Linked DNA regions of Coturnix japonica. The protein of the gene in region 1 interacts with the protein of each later gene in a biochemical or structural test. Links are inferred from orthologs where the notes say so. Each region holds a gene or a part of one and is shown on either strand. Other genes may lie near its edges.

The links. The genes of interacting proteins can lie anywhere in the genome.
Region 2: the proteins of RBBP8 (region 1) and KLHL15 form a complex in vitro, tested with the Homo sapiens proteins (2 studies listed by BioGRID, with this or other methods). The link is inferred for Coturnix japonica from reciprocal best matches to the Homo sapiens genes RBBP8 and KLHL15.
Region 3: the proteins of RBBP8 (region 1) and SIAH2 form a complex in vitro, tested with the Homo sapiens proteins (2 studies listed by BioGRID). The link is inferred for Coturnix japonica from reciprocal best matches to the Homo sapiens genes RBBP8 and SIAH2.
Region 4: the proteins of RBBP8 (region 1) and CTBP1 form a complex in vitro, tested with the Homo sapiens proteins (3 studies listed by BioGRID and IntAct). The link is inferred for Coturnix japonica from reciprocal best matches to the Homo sapiens genes RBBP8 and CTBP1.

Annotation. Positions count from the first base shown.
Region 1 is NC_029517.1:92,768,783-92,773,564, reverse strand, and holds the start of RBBP8 (DNA endonuclease RBBP8), read right to left. Parts: upstream 3,303-4,782; 5' UTR 3,169-3,302; intron 1-3,168. UniProt on the Homo sapiens protein: Endonuclease that cooperates with the MRE11-RAD50-NBN (MRN) complex in DNA-end resection, the first step of double-strand break (DSB) repair through the homologous recombination (HR) pathway.
Region 2 is NC_029516.1:107,481,195-107,485,968, forward strand, and holds the start of KLHL15 (kelch-like protein 15), read right to left. Parts: upstream 3,129-4,774; 5' UTR 2,941-3,128; intron 1,500-2,940; 5' UTR 1,404-1,499; intron 1-1,403. Other genes in the region: EIF2S3 (eukaryotic translation initiation factor 2 subunit 3), read left to right, coding at 3,610-3,735. UniProt on the Homo sapiens protein: Substrate-specific adapter for CUL3 E3 ubiquitin-protein ligase complex.
Region 3 is NC_029524.1:20,988,630-20,993,488, reverse strand, and holds the start of SIAH2 (E3 ubiquitin-protein ligase SIAH2), read right to left. Parts: upstream 3,129-4,859; 5' UTR 3,020-3,128; coding exon 2,618-3,019; intron 1-2,617. UniProt on the Homo sapiens protein: E3 ubiquitin-protein ligase that mediates ubiquitination and subsequent proteasomal degradation of target proteins.
Region 4 is NC_029519.1:76,690,995-76,695,891, reverse strand, and holds the start of CTBP1 (C-terminal-binding protein 1), read right to left. Parts: upstream 3,129-4,897; 5' UTR 3,021-3,128; coding exon 2,963-3,020; intron 1-2,962. UniProt on the Homo sapiens protein: Corepressor targeting diverse transcription regulators such as GLIS2 or BCL6. Has dehydrogenase activity. Involved in controlling the equilibrium between tubular and stacked structures in the Golgi complex.

The DNA of each region.
Region 1 (4,782 bases):
AAAAAAGGCTTCACTGATCTGCCTGAACAGAGGCAAAACTTTTTGTAGTGTCTTGGCTTAAGTTCAGGTTTCAAAATAATATGGCACAGTAAATGAAGTGGCAGAATACTTATCCATGAGCAACTCTGAAGAAGGGAACCTGATTTAATCCCAGCTAATCAACTGATGATGGAAATTCTATTGTAAGAGTACTGCAATGTTGTAGCACAGATAAAATAACAATTAAGAAAAGCCTTTATGACCCCTCCTTTTTTTTTTCCTGATGAGGCTGCATCAATGTCTCTAAGCATTCAGATAACACTGCGTTCAGATAAGAACTAGCCCACTGCATATGCATACAAAATAGGGTTAAAAGAGATTAGCAGATAACTTACATTTTTCTGTTTCTATAGATTTAGATGCAAAGATTAAAACCAGCTTTGAATTGTAATGGGGAACTCTGATTTAGGTATTTAATTGTTTTGAATACAACGATAAATATATCACTCTTTTCCTGTATGTATAGATATATATACACACTGGTGAACTCCTTATTTATTTACATAAGATTTAGCAGATTCCACATACACATCCATGGCCAGTGTGCTCCCAACCTCCCTGAGATGCAGATCTGCACAGAGGGATAAATATGTTGCTAAACATCTAGGCATGTTCATTTCATGAACTTTATGTTGCATTTGCCAATGAAGACATCAAAGGAGCCCAGCTTTGTATGCAGTGAATAGGAGCTTGTGGCAGTTCAGCTGTTACCTGAACCCCCTAAACAGGGTTTGACTAGGAGTGCAGGAAGTGGAGGTCCTCTGAGTGGTATGATTTCATACATCTGGGAATGCATGCAGTGCATACCATTGCGCTGTCTGGCACTGGTATTATTTGCTTTTTCTGCCACTCCATCACCCCCCACTAGCTGAATGTGATTCTTCTCAAGCTGCTTGCGTAGCCACTTCTGAAATGGAGCCAAGATCAAATTCCCTGATGCCACTAACAATGTTCACTTTAACGGACTCTCTTCTTTGAAGTGCTTTCACTGCTCATCTGTAGTCAGAAGCAGCTTGAATTTGTTCAGCTGAAACTCACAGATATTTTAGAGAGTCTTGATGGTGAAGAAACCCATTCCAGGACCTGAGGGATTCTGTTTCAGGACCACAGTGCAGTGTTCATAGCCCTCAGACTCTAAGGAGAGCACCTGTTTGAGTGAGCTGTGTGCAGAAATGTTTTGCTCTAACTGATATTTCTCAGGTTGTCATGAGTAATCATGAATAGCTTTGCATATATATTTCAGCCCTGGAAAGCTATTTCAGCATGGAAGGCTGAAATAAAAATGTACAGCTCTGTGTACAAAATCGTGCCATCTACCTTCTGCTGTAGTGAATGACAAGAATTCAGGACAGGAAAATAACACAATGGGAAACTTTTTACTTACCTTTAGGGGGAAAAAATATCTGAACAACAGCCCCTGCCTTCCAAGCCCCTTCCTCCCCCCCCCCCCCCCCCACTTCTAAAGAAAGAAGAGAAAAGAAGAGAAGCAGCTAAGAAAACCCAAATAAAGCAGAACACAAATTGCAGAGAGAGAAGATGGCAAACAGTATTTTGTAAAGCTGATTTATTTGGTCTGAATTTTAAGAAAGGTACTGTGTTCCAGCACTGTAGCTTTAGAAATCAAAACTCTCTTGTAGCATTTTATAGGTTCTACAGAGTCTCTGCTCAAACCATGCAGTTCAGCCAGTTCCATTTTTTTTTTTCCTTTGGAGAGCAGAATTTGCAAAATTTCTTTCTGTATTTAATAGGAAAATCGACAATGATGATAAAATTTAAACTTTTTTTTTAAATTATTATTATGTTGTTATTGTTTTTATGTTTTGGGGGAGTGTAAAACTTTAGGGAATCTCTGTGTCCTTTGTGTTACTTCATATTGGAAGAATAGTTTTAACACAGAGATACAATGTGACTAATGAGAAGATCATTTAATCTGCTACTCGTTGGGTTTTTTAGCTGCTTAGGAGATTTTTTAGATTGGTATTTTACAGAAGGATAATAATGTTCATTTTTAATCAACCTGGAAATAGCAGGCAATAAATACCTCCATAACTGAAGCTTCCTGTTAGGTGACTACTATAACTTCTTTCTTAATGCCGTACAGATCTTTTTGCATCTAGCAGCTTGTGTCCACTGGGAACACTGATTTATTTACATTTTTAACATCATGAAAGAAAACTCATAATAATTTCACTTGAAGATAGACTAAATTATGACTCCCAGGGAGCCAGAAATAACTGTGAAAGGGTTTTTAAAAATGCAGTTACATGGATGGTGAGAACATTCACATTTAGTGAAGGTAAAGAGTTATTTTGTCCTAACAGGCATGACAAAACCTGTCTTCATTCCTTTCTGTTCAGCTCAGCAAGTGCTTCTGTGCTCCAGTAGTTAATCAGTTACCAGATTCCACAGCTTTTGTTTTCACACTGTTTAATTTTTCTTATTTGACACCATACTTGTGAATGGATTCACTTGCTGATACAGGTACAACCTTCAGGTTTGCCTGCTCTTTATGCCTAGGATTGCTTTTTGTTGCTGTTGCCACCACCGTTACCTGGTATGTTCTAAACAGGAAAACTTCTGGTAATTATGTAGAAAGGAAGCGGTAAGAATGACAAGCACATTTCCTATTTTACCAGGAAGCCAATTCTCAACATGTAAATCTAGTTTTAATTAACTCACCTCATAAAACTGAATAATTAAATAAAAACAGTAATCCAACATGAACCAGTAATAGCACATCTTGCTGTAGTCGCACTACACCTCTTCACAGCAAGAAGACTTAGCTTACATACGCTGTATGAAAGAGGAGACCAAGAGGTAACACTCAAGTGACACACTCTATGTACTAACTCATTGGCAGTGAAGTTTCTCTCTCAGTCCATGCACGGTCCCTTAAACTGCCTCCAGTAAATACTCCAGCAGACAGATGTTGAGCTGAGCACAAGAAGGGTCAAAAAGCTGCTCTCCCCAAAATCCTGTCACCAAGCACCACAGAGGCTGGCAGTACCCAGACACCTTAAGGAGATCATATATGTAAGAAGCCATTATACCATTTTAAGCATCAGATAATTTTTTTTTTTTCTTAAGGTTATCTTAAATTAATTTTAAATAAAGGCTTTCAAAACTCACCCTTCTCTTTGAATTGTGCAAAGTTCTGCTCCTGATCGGGGTGATAAATGTTTACTATTGACTTCCCCTCCAGCTATAAACCTCAAGCGTAAGTAAGATGAGGAAGCCACCGTGGACCACACTAGAGAGTGCCGAGAGGAGATCTGCTGCTCCTAGGATATATACAATGTGCAATGGATAACCTAATATGCCTTTCATTTAACTGGCTGGGCAGGTTTCTGCATTCTGGAGAGTGTGGAATCATACCAGAATTTGTTGGCATAACAGGCTCGTCTGACCGGTTCCTGGGGCGCCGGGAACCAGCACAACCAGTTTGCATCAAAGGCCGCCCAACATGCTGCAGCTCAGCACTGGGGAGGCTTCGTGCCTCACGCCTCCGTCAGCTCGCGGCGTGCTGCTCAGAGGGAATGATGTAGCCTCCAGCAAAATAATTTACAGAGGGGTGAGGGAGTGATACATTCATGGTAAGTGTAGCAAGACTGTGGTGTTATAAAATTTCTTTCGTTTTATGTGCTGATGCACTGGGCTAGAGGTCTTGCTCAGTGTGACTGCAAAAGGAAATTTGTCAGAAAATACCTTTTTTGTAGTACTAACACCAAATCTTGAGTGTGAAAAGACAGAAACTAGGCTCCAATTCAGCCTTGCTTCGTAGAATCACAGAGTTGTTTGAGTTGGAAGGGAGCTTTAAAGGTCATCTAGTCCCCTGCAGGTTGCTCAGAGCCCCTCCAACCTGACCTTGAATGTCTCCAAGGATGGGGCATCCACCACCTCTCTGGGCAACCTGTTCCACTGCTTCACTACCCTTACTGTAGAAAACTTCTTCCTTACATCCAATCTAAATCTCCCCTGTTCCAGTTTGAAACCATTTCCTCTTTTCCTATCACCACAGATCTTGCTGAAGGGTTTGTCCCCTTTTTTTGTTCTAACCCCCATTACAGTCCTGCTCTAAGTACTTAAGCATATCTACATGTATGTATAGAACTCTGCATAGCTTTGCTATATGTTAGGGACAGGATCCTGGGAGCCTGCTTGTGAAATGCACACCTCACGCCTTCCATGGAGGTCTGGGTTAGTATAAGCTGCTCTGAATTACCACACATGATATTTCAAGGTGAAACAAATTGCAGAACACCGAGGGTATGGGACATGCTTCCATAACCATGAGGAACTACTGGTGAGGCAACACCCTTCTCTGAAGGATACAGAAGCCGCTCTACTACAATTGCACACAGGCTGTAAGCAGCAGCTGTGCTGCTTCATATTCATGGCTGGGAGGCAAGAATACTTCATATTAGTCCTGTGTACTGCATATTTATTCAAGCTGTAGGCAGAGAGCAGGATATGCCCCGACAGAATCCTGCATCTGTGTCAACTTATTACATTCTTTCAAATACAAATATAAACCATAATTTTCAGATCTACTTCTGTGATTGTCTGAGATCTTGACTCAAATCAGCAGGAGCTGTAGGAGTTCAGCACTCCTGGAAATGGAATCATGGATGCCTATAATCAGCCTGCTAAACTCAGCTTGGGCAGATTCCTTTATCTTTTACTTAGGTACCTAAATTTAAACATTTTATCTTGAAAAAAATTGTCATTATTTAATGTTGCTGA
Region 2 (4,774 bases), on another chromosome or scaffold:
TGACACCATATGAAACTACGAGGTGCTTTGGGCTGTCCCTGCTTCCTTCAAACTTCTCTCTGCCTGCTATGTCACTCACTGCTTTAAATAACGGGATGTGCACCGCCATCCTCTCCCTGATTATTGCCGTTCCCACCCCCTTCGCTGTCTATTTGCAGTTGCTCGTTACCACCCCCATCCCATTCTTGATTTCTAAAACAGTATAACTCCTCTCTGACTGCCACCCTCAATCTGAATGTCTATCCCACCTCTCACTGCTTCACACAATGAACCTGCTGTTGCATGCACAGCTTCACAAAAGACTACCCACTGCTATTCCCACTGCTATTCCCACTGCCTCCCACGGCTCCTACACACCTACTTACTCCACACTACAAACAACCCGCTCCCATTCACCGACTCCTTCATACAGGTGACCTGACCTCTCTCTGCTCAGCCAGCTTCATACCACTCCACCTCCTACACTTAACTCACACAGTAAATTTGCCCCATTTCCCCAGTTGCTGTTTCAAAACCTGTTACTCGTGCAACCAAGGTGATATAACTGACCATTATCAAAGCAGTTCCTGTCTAAGTCCCAAAGGAAAGACATGGAATTAAATGATCTTTCATAGTGGTGAGGCTGGTCTCTTTTCAGTAGTGCGTGGGGACAGGACTAGGGGTAATGGGATGAAACTACAGCATAGGAAGTTCCACACGAATGTGTGGAAGAACTTCTTTACAGTGAGGGTGACGGAGCACTGGAACAGGCTGCCCAGGGAGGTGGTGGAGTCTCCTTCTCTGGAGATATTCAAGACCCGCCTGGACACCTACCTGTGTGATGTGGTGTAGGGAGCCTGCTTTGGCAGGGGGTTGGACTCGATGATCTCTAGAGGTCCCTTCCAACCCCTACAATTCTGTGATTCTGTGATTCGAATGAGTTGGAAGGGACCTTTAAAGGACGTCTGGTTCAACTCCCCTGCAATGAACAGCTACAGCTACATCAGGTGCTCAGAGCCCTGTTCAGCCTCACCTTCTCTGTCTCCTGGGATGGGCCATCTACCACCTCTCTGGGCTGGACAACCTGTTTCAGTGCTTCACTTACCCCTATTATAAAAAGGTTTTTCTTCTTATACCCAACCTAATCTCCCATTTTAGTTTAAAACCATTTTCCCTTTTCCTATCACAGCAGACCCTGCAAAAAGAGCATTAAAAATGTTCTCCTTTACTCACTGGGTCTGTCTTCTGCCAAACCGAGCACACACCACTGACATCTTGTGATCTGGCGAAAAGAATCTAGAGCAGAAAATCTATTTCTCACATACAGAATCAACGCAACAAAACATCACACTTCATTCTTCAGACTTTCAACCTGTGTAAGTCAATAAGGATAAAAAAGACTGGCAGGGCTGTTCTGGTTTTACCTGACTGTCATTTTGCTGTTTGCAGTTTGTGGTAAGCTGAGGTGTAAGATGATCTTCAAGTTGCTCCTACACACTGCAGCAGAAATGGATTCAAACCTAGTAAAAAACAAAGAGAAAACTATAAACAAACACAACCATGCATCAGCTGTGACAGCATTTAAGAGCATAAATAAAAGTGACTCCTCCATACTGAATAATTTACTTGTACTGAAGGTTTCAATCTCCTAATTAAAACTACAGGGCTGTTAAACTTAGGTCCTAGACAGTCTTTAGTCTTGCATTTTTCTTCATGCTACAAACATTACTCAGTACAGTAAAGCAAAATAATAAGACAGAAGGTGTAAAGCAGACAATTTCATTGTTAAACATAATAATAGTGTATTTCTTCAGATTTCTGACACTTATTGGGAAAGAGTAAATCATTTCTACAGGCTGCTGCAACAACTGTTTCTATAACCCTATACTGTGCTGTGTTATTGCATAATTACAGCAGTAAGTACCTACAGAATCCAGTATTTTCAGCTCATTTCCATCAGTGATCATACGTGCCTCATGCTGAGGCAACCACATTCGAGTATTGCATCATATTCTCCATGCTTGCTCTGTCTATCTTGGTCGTAAGCATATATGGTTTTCTCAGAAGCAAGATATTTTATACAAAAATCGTACAACATCACATAGTCTAATGGAAGATTAGAAATGAACATTTATTTTCAAGACCAAACGTGCAAAATGATTTGGTAGGAAGATGTATTCAGTCACTAGCAACATCGTTGTGGTTTATTACCACATTCTTGTATCCTTTCCTTCAAAACAAGAATGCTGGCCATGCATTTGCTATAGGTGTATCAGGAAATACTATCAGGAAAGAATGGAAATGGCATTTGTGGAAGTGGGAAGTGACGAGTCTTGTTAAACCAGACATACTGGTTTGGCACACATTTCCACCAATCATATTGCTGGGTGCTTGGGAATTACTGCTTGGACCTGAGTAGTCAGGCAAAATCTGTGAAGCTCCACACTTTCTAGCCGGCAAAAACACTGCTGAAGAATGTGAATGCATGTGATGCAGTTGGTTACTTGTATTGAAAGCAGTTGCTCTGATCAAAGAAATCTAGTTGGCAACAATGTCTTCTAAGGCTTTTCCACAGAGGAGGAATCAGTTCAGTTTCTCACGGGGGAGGGTTGTGAATTTGGACCTTGGTCTCCAGACTGTGTGTCATCAGTGTATTGGCGATTTTACTTGGTTTTTAAGGAATGCAAGGCTCAGCTGACTCTGAAAACAACAGGTGCTAGTTGTCTGCAATCAAAGACTCAGGCTGCTTGTGTTGGGCTTTAGACAACACAGAGGACACACTAACTATGGCAAGGCCTATGGCCAGCGGAGATGGCTAACACATGTACAGCGGCATTTACCATTAGTGCCAATAAGCTGATGGCCACCATTGATGCTCACTTGCAGTACATACAGGCACACGCTGCCTTAACTTCACCCCTTCTCCTGCCTGCACCACACCGCTCAAACCCCCCAACACACCTACGTTTCCATGCTGTTAGACACGCATCGACAAGCGCCGGCGTCCTCACATCCACCAGCACAGCCCGAAGCCTCCCGCGTTGGGGCAGGGAGCGCCTCATGCTGATCCTCCCACCGCAGCTACTGCGACTCAGCAGCGGGCGGTGACCCCGCGCCCGTGCAGCCTGCCATTGTGAGAGGCAGCCCCCGTCATAGTATCACAGTATCATAGTATCATGCGGGTTGGAAGGGACCTTAGAGATCATCGAGAGTCCAAACCCCTGGGATTCGAGTCTCCTGTGTAGCAGAGCGTGGGCACGTCTACCACTTGCGCCACAGGGGGGATTCGAACCCAGAGCCTCCGCTGTTGCAAAGCGGCGTCCTTAACCACTGCGCCACCAGGGCCCACACGAAGGCAGCGCTCCCCCGGCAGCCATTACCCACAGCCACACACACACCACCCCTACAACCCTCCGCCGTTACCCCGCGGCGGCCGCAAGGCGCATGCGCACAGCCCCGCTTCCATGACGGCTCCGGTTGCATCACCCGGGGCTGCCCATTGCCGCGCCTGAGCCGCTGTCGCCTCGCGGCGGGACTGAGGGCGGCTACGAGCCGCACAGCGCCGAGCGTCCCTGAGCCCGGGCCGGCCGTGTCGGGCCGAGAGTGCCGGGCGTGGTGGAGGCGGCGCCAATGGAAGCGAGGGGTCAGGCGGCCGTGCGGGCAGCCCCGCTTCCTCTTGCGGCCAAGATGGCGGGAGACGAGGCGGGAGTGACGCTGGGGCAGCCGCACCTCTCCCGGCAGGACCTCGCCACCTTGGTGCGGCCCGCGTGGGGGGCGCCCGCACGGCGACGGGGGGGCTCTGCGGGACGGGGGGCGGGGAGAGGAGGGCGAAAGGCTTCGCTGCTCTCCACGGGGCTGCCGACGACGGGAGGGCCGGGAGCCGAGCTGAAGGCTGTGCGGCCGGGCGGGGGTGGCTGCGGCCGGGCTGCTGGGCGCCTCTGGAGGCCGGCTGGCTGGGTGGGTGGGTGGGTGCAGGCTGAGGGGAGCGCTGAGAACTGGGCAGGTCACGGCGGCCTCCGCGTGGCTGGCCGGCATGGGGTGCCGAGGGCTCACACTGTGGTAAATAGGGAGCCGCCTCCTCCGAACGGGCCGGTAGCGTGAGCTGCTCGGCGTGCCCGAGTTGGGCAGGTGTGCTGTGTAGAGCTGTCAGGGAAGTGCCTGCTCTTAGAATCACAGAATAGTTTGAGTTGGAAAGGACCCTTAAAGGCCATCGAGTCCAGGGAGGTTGTGGATGCCCCGTCCTTGGAGGTGTTCAAGACCAGGTTGGACGGGGCCCTGGGCAACCTGATCTAGTAAATGTGGATGTTTGGTGGCCCTGCCAGGCAGGGGGGTTGGAACTACATGATCCTTGAGGTCCCTTCCAACCCGGGTCATTCTGTGAGTCCGTGTACCCAGCAAGGAGCTGGGACACCTACAGCTACATCAGGGTGCTCGGAGCCATGTTCGGCCTGACAGATCCCGGTGCAGCATGACAAACTACAGAACGTTTGTACATGCACATGTGGTGTTTTTTGTTGTTGTTATTGTCAGTAGCAATGTTTCATATTCTTTGAATATGAGAATTTTTTTTTTGTGTGTCCTAGCATGTTTGTTAGTGAAGCACATTAGTAACTTCAGAAAGCTTCTTATTTTTCTTTTTCATTGGGTATTTTGCCAGCTGGCAAGAGTGCAGCAGTTCCTCATTTCCTGATCAACAGGAATTACCATTCAGCCCCACTCTGTCCTTTGTTCAGTGGGCCCTTGAAAGCCTTCAGCTCACCGTAGCCTGTTGCTGAGCTTAACTTGATGCCAGCCT
Region 3 (4,859 bases), on another chromosome or scaffold:
TTAGATGAAATGGACCACAAGGCTGAGCTGTAGATCATCTGCTGTTGCAGTTAGACCTGAACAGTCCACATCAGCTGAAGTGGTCCCAGTATGGATTCTTCTCTTTAGAAAGCACACAGGATGCCAGTCTCAGCAAACAGCTACTGCAACAGCATCCTTTAATAAACACAGAGCAGACCTACTTCCATTAAACTCAGACCCACGATCCCAAGTTTTAGCACCACGGTTTCAAAGAGTGGGAAGAGAGATGCTGATTTTTTATGGAGCACAGAGCTCATCACAAGTGAGCACCGCGTGACTGCTCTTAATGTCATCGGGCACCTCCAAAGGTTAATCTGCTTTCAGCAAACAGGGATGCTTTTCCTTTTCAACACCGAGTCGCTGTCTGCACTGAACACGTTTCTTCCTCACTACCTCTAAGGAGAAACGCGTCTTTTGCTCTGAGCAGGAGCACAGCTCCCCCCATCTGCAGACAGCTGGAGAGACTTCTGCAACTCTGCTCATGCGGTCCCGCCATCACAGCCCACGTGTGGCTGCCTACAGGAGGTAGGACGCTTCTTTGGGTCAGGGACTGTGCTCTGAGACCAAAGGTGAGAGAATGTTTGAAGGAACAAGACAATCTCTGGGGAAACACAAGTCTGGACAGACTTTTTGTAAAATGTTCAACTAAGCAAAGTCCAAATTCATCAAAGTTTAACAGCGTATTTTGGGGTTAAATGCAAACACAATTAGTTTCAGCTCAAAGAGTGAAATGCCTGAGATGCAGACGCCACAGTCCTCCTTACTGCAGCCAAATCACCCACACTGCAGCACAGTGCTACAACTGCTGGGACAGAAACGAGACCTTGTGCTTCTACAGAGCTTGCTTTATAAGCCATAACGTGTGCTCTGCTGCTTAATCCTCTGTGACAGGATTTATCCACCTGTGACAGGAGCACAGAGGTGTGCTGCGGTGCAACCAGGGCTCCTCCTGCTGCAGGCAGAAACCCACCATGCAGAGCACGGCTCCCTGCCGCTGGGTTCTATGCTTCCACTCTCACTGTTCTGCTGTTTTCACTCTACATTCATACCCCTGTTGGCAATGTAATCGCTTTGCACTTTGCTGAAGAACCGCTCTCGGTCTGACCCTGTTAGAAAAGCAGTAAGAACATGTAAGCTGCTGGATGGGCAAAAGCAAACGTCTGCGTAGTGTCAGCCTGTATCAGAAAGTGACCAGTGGTGAACACACAAGGAAGAGAGCTGAGGAAATAGCTGTGGTTTTTCCTTTGCTGTGACCCACCTCCTTCTGTTGGCTCCTGAACACACAGCAGCAGTTTTGTTTGGTGAGCAGGAGGTTGTGAACAGATTCACGGAGCGCTCTGGGTTTGTAAGGGACTCTCACAGATCTTCTGGGAACACAGAGCACTTGTTGCCTTCATGCTGTTTGGCACATGTCACCGATATTTACCATATCCTCATTCAAACCAAAGAGCCTGTTGGTCTTTCCCTGCGTGCAGGTCATATGATACCGCCCATCTCATTGACGGCTCTACCTTTTCCACTTCTCCTGTGTCCTTCCTGAGGCAGGAGCGCAGGGTGCAGGCAGTGCTGGTGCACCACAAATGCCGGAGCTGATGTGACTGCTCCGTGCTCTCACATTGCCTTTCTCTCGCTCCCAGCATTCCACTTTTACGAGTACCTTTCGTCACAGCACTACTTGCACCACATTCACCTTCCTAAGAGGAAGCAGGCAGCCCTGCAGCCATCACCACATAATGACTTAGCATTCCGTGTTGTTGCTATGTACGTCACTTCACTCGCGTTACCCTGGACTTCCCCTTACAGGTAATGTGAGTGCCTGAAAGCATTCTGAAAACATTGGCTAAGCTTGAAGGTGCTCAGCAGAGCCAGGTCAGTGAATGAAGGCAGGGTGTATATGGGATTAAAGCACCTTGTCTGAAGCTGCAGGGGAAATCTGCAGCAGAGCCGGGAATGACACGCTGAGTCCATCCCTGCTCTTCCCTCCCAGCTGCACAGCGAAGCAGCGGCGGCCCGAGGCTGCAGTGCCTGTCCCTGCGCCCGGCCGAAGGGGGCAGCGCTCAGTGCGATGCTGCCGGAGCCCTTTCAATGGATACACAACCTCACTACGCCTAGTGGTTCTAAAAGCAAAACATTACGGTTGGATGTGGAGTGCAGAAAGGATTCCACATCTTGCCCTCGGACTAAACATAAAGAGTACAGCGAAATGAATCCTCACTGGATTCCCTTTTCTTCAGAGGGATCAGAACCACAAGAAGGCTCAGAAATGGGGCAGCAGCTCCAGGCAGAGGTGACAAGTTAAAGGATCTCAGCAGGACCCTCCCTAAGGGAGGTGTCCCTAACCCTGCCCCAGCTCTCGGGACGCAGAGCATCGCTGCTCCTATGGAAGCTGCGAAGAGCGAGGTTTCTTTTCCAAAAGATGAAGCCCTGCGTCCCGCCCTGTGTCCGCATTAAGTCAGCTCCGTACCTACGAGCGCATTTACCACTTGCGCTTATTTCAACGATGAGAGAAAACGAGTTGTTTTTGTCACGTCTGAAATAGGAGCAGGGCTGTGAGCAGAAAGGGGGTCCCGTCCAACCCGGCGCCCCGTCCGCTCACCTTGCAGGGGAAGAGCACGGCCGAGGCCACCTTCTCCATGGCCAGGTTCCTGATGCTGGGGGTCAGCGAGCCCCGGCAGGTGGGGCAGAGGCTCAGCTTCTGCCGGCATTGCTTGCAGACCAGGTGCCCGGCCTGGCACTGCAGGATGGGCGGCAGCACATAGTCGAAGCACACGGGGCACTCGAACAGCGACGTCAGCTCGTGGTGCTGCGGAGACACGGGCCCGCCCGGCCCGGAGAGGACGGCGGCGGCCGCGGGCACGGCGGAGGATCCGGCACCGGACGCGGCGATGGTGGCGGCGGCGGGAGCGGGCGCGGCGGCGGCCGGGGCGGGGGCGTGCGGCGGCGGCTGCTTCCCGCAGGGTTTGTTAGAGCCCGGCCCGGCGGACGAAGGGCGGCTCATGGCGCCGCGCTGCCGCCACCATCGGGCCGCGGCTCTCGGGACCCGACGCGCCCGCCCGGAACGCTCCGCTGACGCAAGAGGCGGCCGCGCGCAGCCTCCGGCCCGGCCCCGCCGCAGCGAGCATGCTCCGGGGGACGGGCGGGGCGGGGAGCGGAGCGGGGCGGCGGGGGGAGCGGGGGAGGAGGAGGAGGAGGAGGATGAGGATGAGGAGGAGGAGGAGGCAGGGGAGCGCCGCGCCCACGGCTGCGGTGCCAGGACGGAGCGGGCGAGACTCGGGAGCGGTCAGCGGCGGCCCGAGCACCGTGCCCCGCACCGCCCCGCCCCGCCCGGTACGCTGCGATGCCGGGAGAGAACGCGGCTCCGTCCGCCGGGCCCGTCCGGGGCTGCGGTAACCGAGGGCGCTGCGGTAACCGAGGGCGCTGCGGTAACCGAGGGCGCTGCGCTCCGCGTCCGGCCGCGCTGGGATGAAGGGGCGCCGGTGGCGCTGACGCCCCGCGGGGCTGAGGAAACCCACCGGGCGCCGTTATCCGCGTGGGCTCGGGCCCGATCCCTGCCCGTGCCGGCCCTCGTGAGGACCGCTGAGCCGCCGTGCTGAGCGCGAGCAGCGGCGGAGGAGCGCGGCTCCTCGCGGGGACGGGACGGGGCGTGAGAGCGGAGCGAGCGGGAGGACGGAACGATGAGAGATGGGTCTGATGGAGAATGGAACAGTGCTGCAGCGCTGCTTGGGGGCGGAGGTCGGGTAAAAGAAATGGGGCTGTTTTCATCCCCCCCGTAACAGAATGTTGAAAATAAAACACCGGTTTAAACGCGTTGTGTTTTGGTAACGGAGGAGAAGTGAGGACGGCCCGGGGGTGGGAATGTCCCCGCGTCCCTTTCATTTGCCGGCGGGGCTGAAGAAGGAAGCGGGCAGAGCCGGGGCTGAAGCTGCGCGCTTCCCTGCCCGCTGCCGTGGTTGCTGTCTGTCCCTGCGCCGGGCTGGATGCGGCTCTGGGCGCACAAAGCGCTGCGTGGTGCCGCTGAGCAGCGCAGCGGACGGGGCGGCCATGAACAGGGCTGTGGTTTGAATTCCCCGTCAGCTCATCGGGCACATGACATACAGCATTTTCCCGAGAGTTCTGCTGCTGACTTGACTCCTCTTGCCCTTAAATGAGCAACGCTTTCCTCCGAGGTGTGGCTGCACTTCCCAGAATGGTGCTGTTATCGCTGCTCGGGCGTGCACCATGTGTGACTCATTGGTGGCTGTGCGCCCTGCGAGGAGTTCCACTGAGACACTGCCCGTGCTCTCATTAAAAGGAGGTGCAGTGTTAGTGGAGTTCTGCTTTTTTCTTCCTTGTGAAGCACTGCCGAGCTTTGCAAGATGATGCAGTCCAAGGTACCAGAGAACAATGCTTTGACTGCAGCTCTGGTTTTATTTTTCCTTTGGCACTCAGTAATGTGCAGTGCATTCAGACACACTGAAGGCTGTGCCACGGCAAAGCCAGAACGAGCCATAGTGTGGGGTGAGCTGTGCTGTGCTCTGTCCTCTCTTGAGTTACATGGCCAACATGCTGCTTTTCCTCTGCCATTCTCTCTTGAGAGTCTTTGACATAGGTGTGGAAGTTCTTTGGAGCTCTGAGAATAAAGGGACCCCAAGGTTCTCTCCAAATCCTGGGGTGCAGAGGCCTTTTCTGATCCCCACCCCCAAACAAATGGAGTGTAACAGCGGAGTGGGGCAGACAGAAATCAGCAGTTTTTGGACGTGGTGTGTGTGTGCTTGTCCGGCCTGGGAGAAACCTACATGGGGCTGTGGGGCAGGGGGGTCCCCAGCACAGCTCCGTGTGTGTGTCCTTTTGTTTCAAAG
Region 4 (4,897 bases), on another chromosome or scaffold:
ACACAACTACATTAAAAGAGAACTAATTGCTCCCCAAGTAATAGAGTCAGATTTTTTCTCCGCTGAGTATTAAGTGAAATTTAGTAGTAGCGCTCCCATGCCGTCATTAACTTGGGAGAACAGTAAATCCGATGCTGCCTGTTCAATTGGTTGCTTAATTTGCATGATTCGTTACTGTAAGCGAGTGTGCAAATTGCTAAAAGCCATTGGAAAACAGTTCAACTCACAGAGCACTTAAAGTGCACAGCCCTGTAACTTCCAGGAGCGCTTGTGGCGATCCATTAACTGCACAGAACAAGCTGTGTGCAGCCCTGTGCACATGTTCACTGCACCAACATCTCATTTGGGGAATCAGTCCCACACCATTCAATTTTTAGCAACTGAATTTCAACTCGCTATCACCTCCTTTGAGCAGTGAGACAAACAGTAATGAAATGTGGTGCGTCACAAAACCGCTGGCATCTCTTTATAGATGCAATAACGCACAAACGCCTGCTCATCACAAGTTTTTATGTTAAACAATTTAAAAATATACATATAAACAGCAGCAGTAATTAGCAAACCACCGCTACCTGCTTTTAGTGAGCTTGCAATAAAATCCATCTTAAAAATAATTCTTTTTTTCTGAGCCAAAAGGTTGAGAGAAAAGAAAGCTTTACGGGGACTGTTGAACAAAAAAAAAGCTGACAGAGAAGATAAGCCACCTTTAATAGCTGTACAGCTCATTAAGTTTCCTGAGCTTTAAAAGAAACATTATGCATCCTCCTAAAATATAAAATACTTAGGCTGTGTTATGGGAAATACGTGCCGAGAACTCCTTGATTCTTAAACCTGAACAGGACCACATAGAGAGAACAGCTTTTCTAAAAACAAACCTGCCCCCTCATTTTTATCCTACATTACACACTGGCACGGATCTAACAACATCAGCCAGAGATGTTTACAAACCTCTAAGAACATCAGGAGCAGAATATAGATCTGACGTTTTACACAGTCAAACTGAATTCCTGTACCCAGAAAACCTTAAGCATTTTTCCATATCCATTTTTTCTTCCCCTCTTCTCTTGTTTACCCTCTTCCTCATCTTCCCACTCCCACAACACAGCATTTATCCAGCATATGGTAAAGGGGATTAGGAAGTCAAAGTGGCTAAAAAACTTCATTCCTGCTGTATTTTTCAACTGCATCAATTCCCAGCAGCGCATGGCCACACAGATAGATTTTAGGATGCAGTGAATTGTGTAAGGCTGGGAAAACAAGCCACACAAATGGCTGTGATTAAACAGTGTCACAACATGTGAACACACAGCCTGAGGGAAGCCGCTGCTGTTTTATACAGTCACAGAACCTAACGGTCTGCCACCTCCACCCCGACTGCATTCTTTGCCACATCATCACAACTAATTTCTCTTACGTCATCCAACTGACAAATATAGTGACCCTAAGAGAATGGTGGAGTTCAGTTCAGCTGTGGGTGCCCTCAGAAGGGACAGGTTTCTCTGTCCTCTCTCATTTCCGTCTCCTCATGCTTTGCTAATTCAGCTCACACTAAAATAGGCAAAAATAAAATAAATATATACCTTTAAGTTTTCTGGTAAGGTCAGACACAGAGACTCTAGAATGAGGACCTAGGACCAAAGGATGAACAGCACAAAGCACTGTGGCATCTCACCCATAGGTCACTTCCATCTGATCCTACAACAGAGTTGTCCAGAGGAAGGGACATCCTTCCCAATTTCCCACCCTCAACAGCCAGCTCCCCAGTTCTTGGTGAGCAGATAAAGCTGACACCTTGGCCAATCAGTCAACTAGTGACATGAGACCAATTTGGATCAAGTATTCAGGGTGAACTAAGCTACTTTTTGTTGAGATTACATCACTTACGAAATTGTACCCTCTGGTACTCTGATGAAATGCCTTTCTCTGGCTTTGTCATAAGGAACTGTCCATGTGCCCCTCATTCCTCCTTTCCAACTGCTATTTCAATGCAACTCGTGAGTCAGCTGTGACCTAGACTGAGGAATTCACCTACATAAAAAAATTCTCAAACAAAATATTGTATTTTTAGTATTGGTCCTCTTCCACTTTGGTTCATTATATGGGTACACTCATATTGTAACAAAGAAAGGGGAAAAGAGGAGGATACAACAAAGCTACCAGTGACTGCTGACGACCAACACAGCTGCTTCAAATGCAGTTTACTGCTTCAGTATTAGGCATGATGCAAAAACTACTCATCCAACAGTCTGTACACTTACTCCAGTCATACCAGAACGGGTTTGGTAAAGAAGTTAACAGATCCCTTCTAAGAAGAAACAAGCATCTAGTATTAAAAAAACATCATTAAGCCTCAACCACTTGTGCATTCATCAAAATACAACTTATCCCTCAGCCTGTTTTCACATCAAATCTGAAAGAAAACAAAGAACACCAGGAACATACAATTCACACAACTGTGATTCAAGATTAATTGACTGATGCAAGTGATTCCACTCCTTTCACAAGATCTTGGTATTTTTATTAACGTTCATTAAGTTTGGGGGTCTTCTGGGATTTTTTTCTTTAACTTCTTTCCCATTTCCTCACTAAGACCAGATATGGGCTCTTAAATCAATCTATATGAAGCATATCTGTAGAGAAAGACCCTGGAGAGGATTATGTGGTCTCCTTATCCTTTTGTGGTTGTTATTTTATACAAACCCACAAGCTTTCACAACATCTTGGCAGAACGTTTTAAAATGCTGAGCTGGAAGGAAACGGAACTGGACAACAGTACAGAGTTCCCACACTCTTTGCTTTTATTCATCAAAACCCAACACCTCTGCACAGTTAACAGGATTTCAACAGGAAACACATCTCAATTAAAAAAATACACTGAATGACCAAACGAGCAGAGTTCTGACCTTCAGAAATATTTATAATCCACTAAATGAATGCAACCTTAGAAATTGAAATATCCAACCTTCAAATATGCGATCCAGCCGTTGCCGCTTCACTTTGTGTTTGTCCATTAGAGACATAAGAGGGGAAGCTCAGAGAACGTCTCCGCACAGTTTGATGATGGACTTCAAGTCAGCCACAACTCAGAAACGTTTTCTGCCTTTTATAAACTTGTTTGTTTTTTAAACCTGTGAATAGAAAGACAGATTTCTTAAATATAGTGGGTTTTTTTCCCACCCCTTTCCAGAAGAGTGACCTATGTATACTTAAAAGAATAAGAAAACATTCACAGTTCCTAAATATACTTGGTATCCTGGGATTTCACAATAAGCTTCCCCATAGGAAGGCATCATAACAAAGCAATCAAGGAAATGCTCCTCTCATCCTTAACTCCATGATATTAGAATAAATTAGAGTTTGATACTGGGAAGTTTAGGGTCACGATTCAAGAAACATATAACTGAAGATGTGCATCCCAGTGAGAGCACAGACTGCCAACATCTATATCAAGCAAATGGCATTTAAAACAGCTTCATGCATGACTAGGCAAGCTCTTTGGCAGCACACACAACTAAGCACTTTTCAGATCCTGCGTAGCTGGGCAAGACAGCAGAAGGGTAACACAACACGAAGCCTGCAGGAAGGGGGTGGGGAGAGGAGAAACATCCCGCATCAAAATTCTCACCAAAATGTACACTGTAAATAAAACACACAGGAGCAAGTGAATGGGTAAAGCTATAGAGATCCTTGGAAAAGCATAATAAGAGCAGTGCATTTGTCCCCTGTAAGAACTTAATAGGCTCTGAGAACCAAACACGTATTACAAGCATGGTGCATACAAACACAGGCCAAATAATTCATTTCCCTGTTTCCTTTTATTCCTTCCCAGGAGCTTTCAACATCAGTGGTGAACATTACATGGCTTTGCAAGTGACCAAACCTAGAAATCTGCTTGTTTCTTCCTTGATTTCTTCCTTTTTTTTTTTTTTAATCAAATCAAACAAGTGCACATTTAGTCAACACCTCACAAAGACTCTTGAGGTGAAGTGACAAAAATATTTTGAATATGAAGCACTGCACATTTGCATTAAAACAGCTATCTTCTTCCAGCCGTACTCTGCTTGCTGCTTTTGGATTTTTAAAACAAAGCTCCTCTCCGTGTTTATTTTCACTTGAAGATGAAGGCAATGTGCAATATTCATCATGCTTTTATCGCTTTATTCAACCTCATCCTCCCACCCACTCTCCCTCCACCTTTTCCTTTATCCTCAGATTCAAGAGTTCTAATGTTCTGCACAATGTCTGACTACAGCTGAACATAATCATCGTGACAGCAGAAATTGATGAAGAATGCTGAAGCCAAATTTCTCTTTAAAAATAAAACAAAACACTGCTGTATAGTAAATTTCCTGTTATAGTGCCTCACATTGATTATTCCTGCAAAATACAACATCCTTCAATATTGAACATGGCTTCAAGATTACATGAGCATTACACCAAATCTAACATGCGGTTAAATGCTTTTTAAAATTAGCCATAGCTACCTGCCTTTCCTTCAGTCAATGTGCCAAACTCGTGTCAACCCCAAACTAGCATTTCTTTGCCTGTTACCTTTGTTTTACAACCTACCACCTCCAATAGACACAGAAGAAGGAAAATAAAAGAGGACAAGAAACAAAAACCAGAATACACTGAATGTTTCCAATGCTAATCTAGGTTTAAATTTTTATAGCTAATTTAATTTCCTGTCTTGTAGAAACATATATGCCTTCTGTCCTCCTTGCGCTCAGTTTTGTTTATTCATTCAGCCCAAGATTTTTCCACTGTAGTCATTCTATGTACGAAGTTGGCTGACAGCTGTAAAAAAGCAGCCCATCTGTAACTACTGCCCTACCGCTGGAAGTGTCACCAGCTGCTTTCTATCCATCTACAGTAGCTTCAAAGCGTACCGCATAAA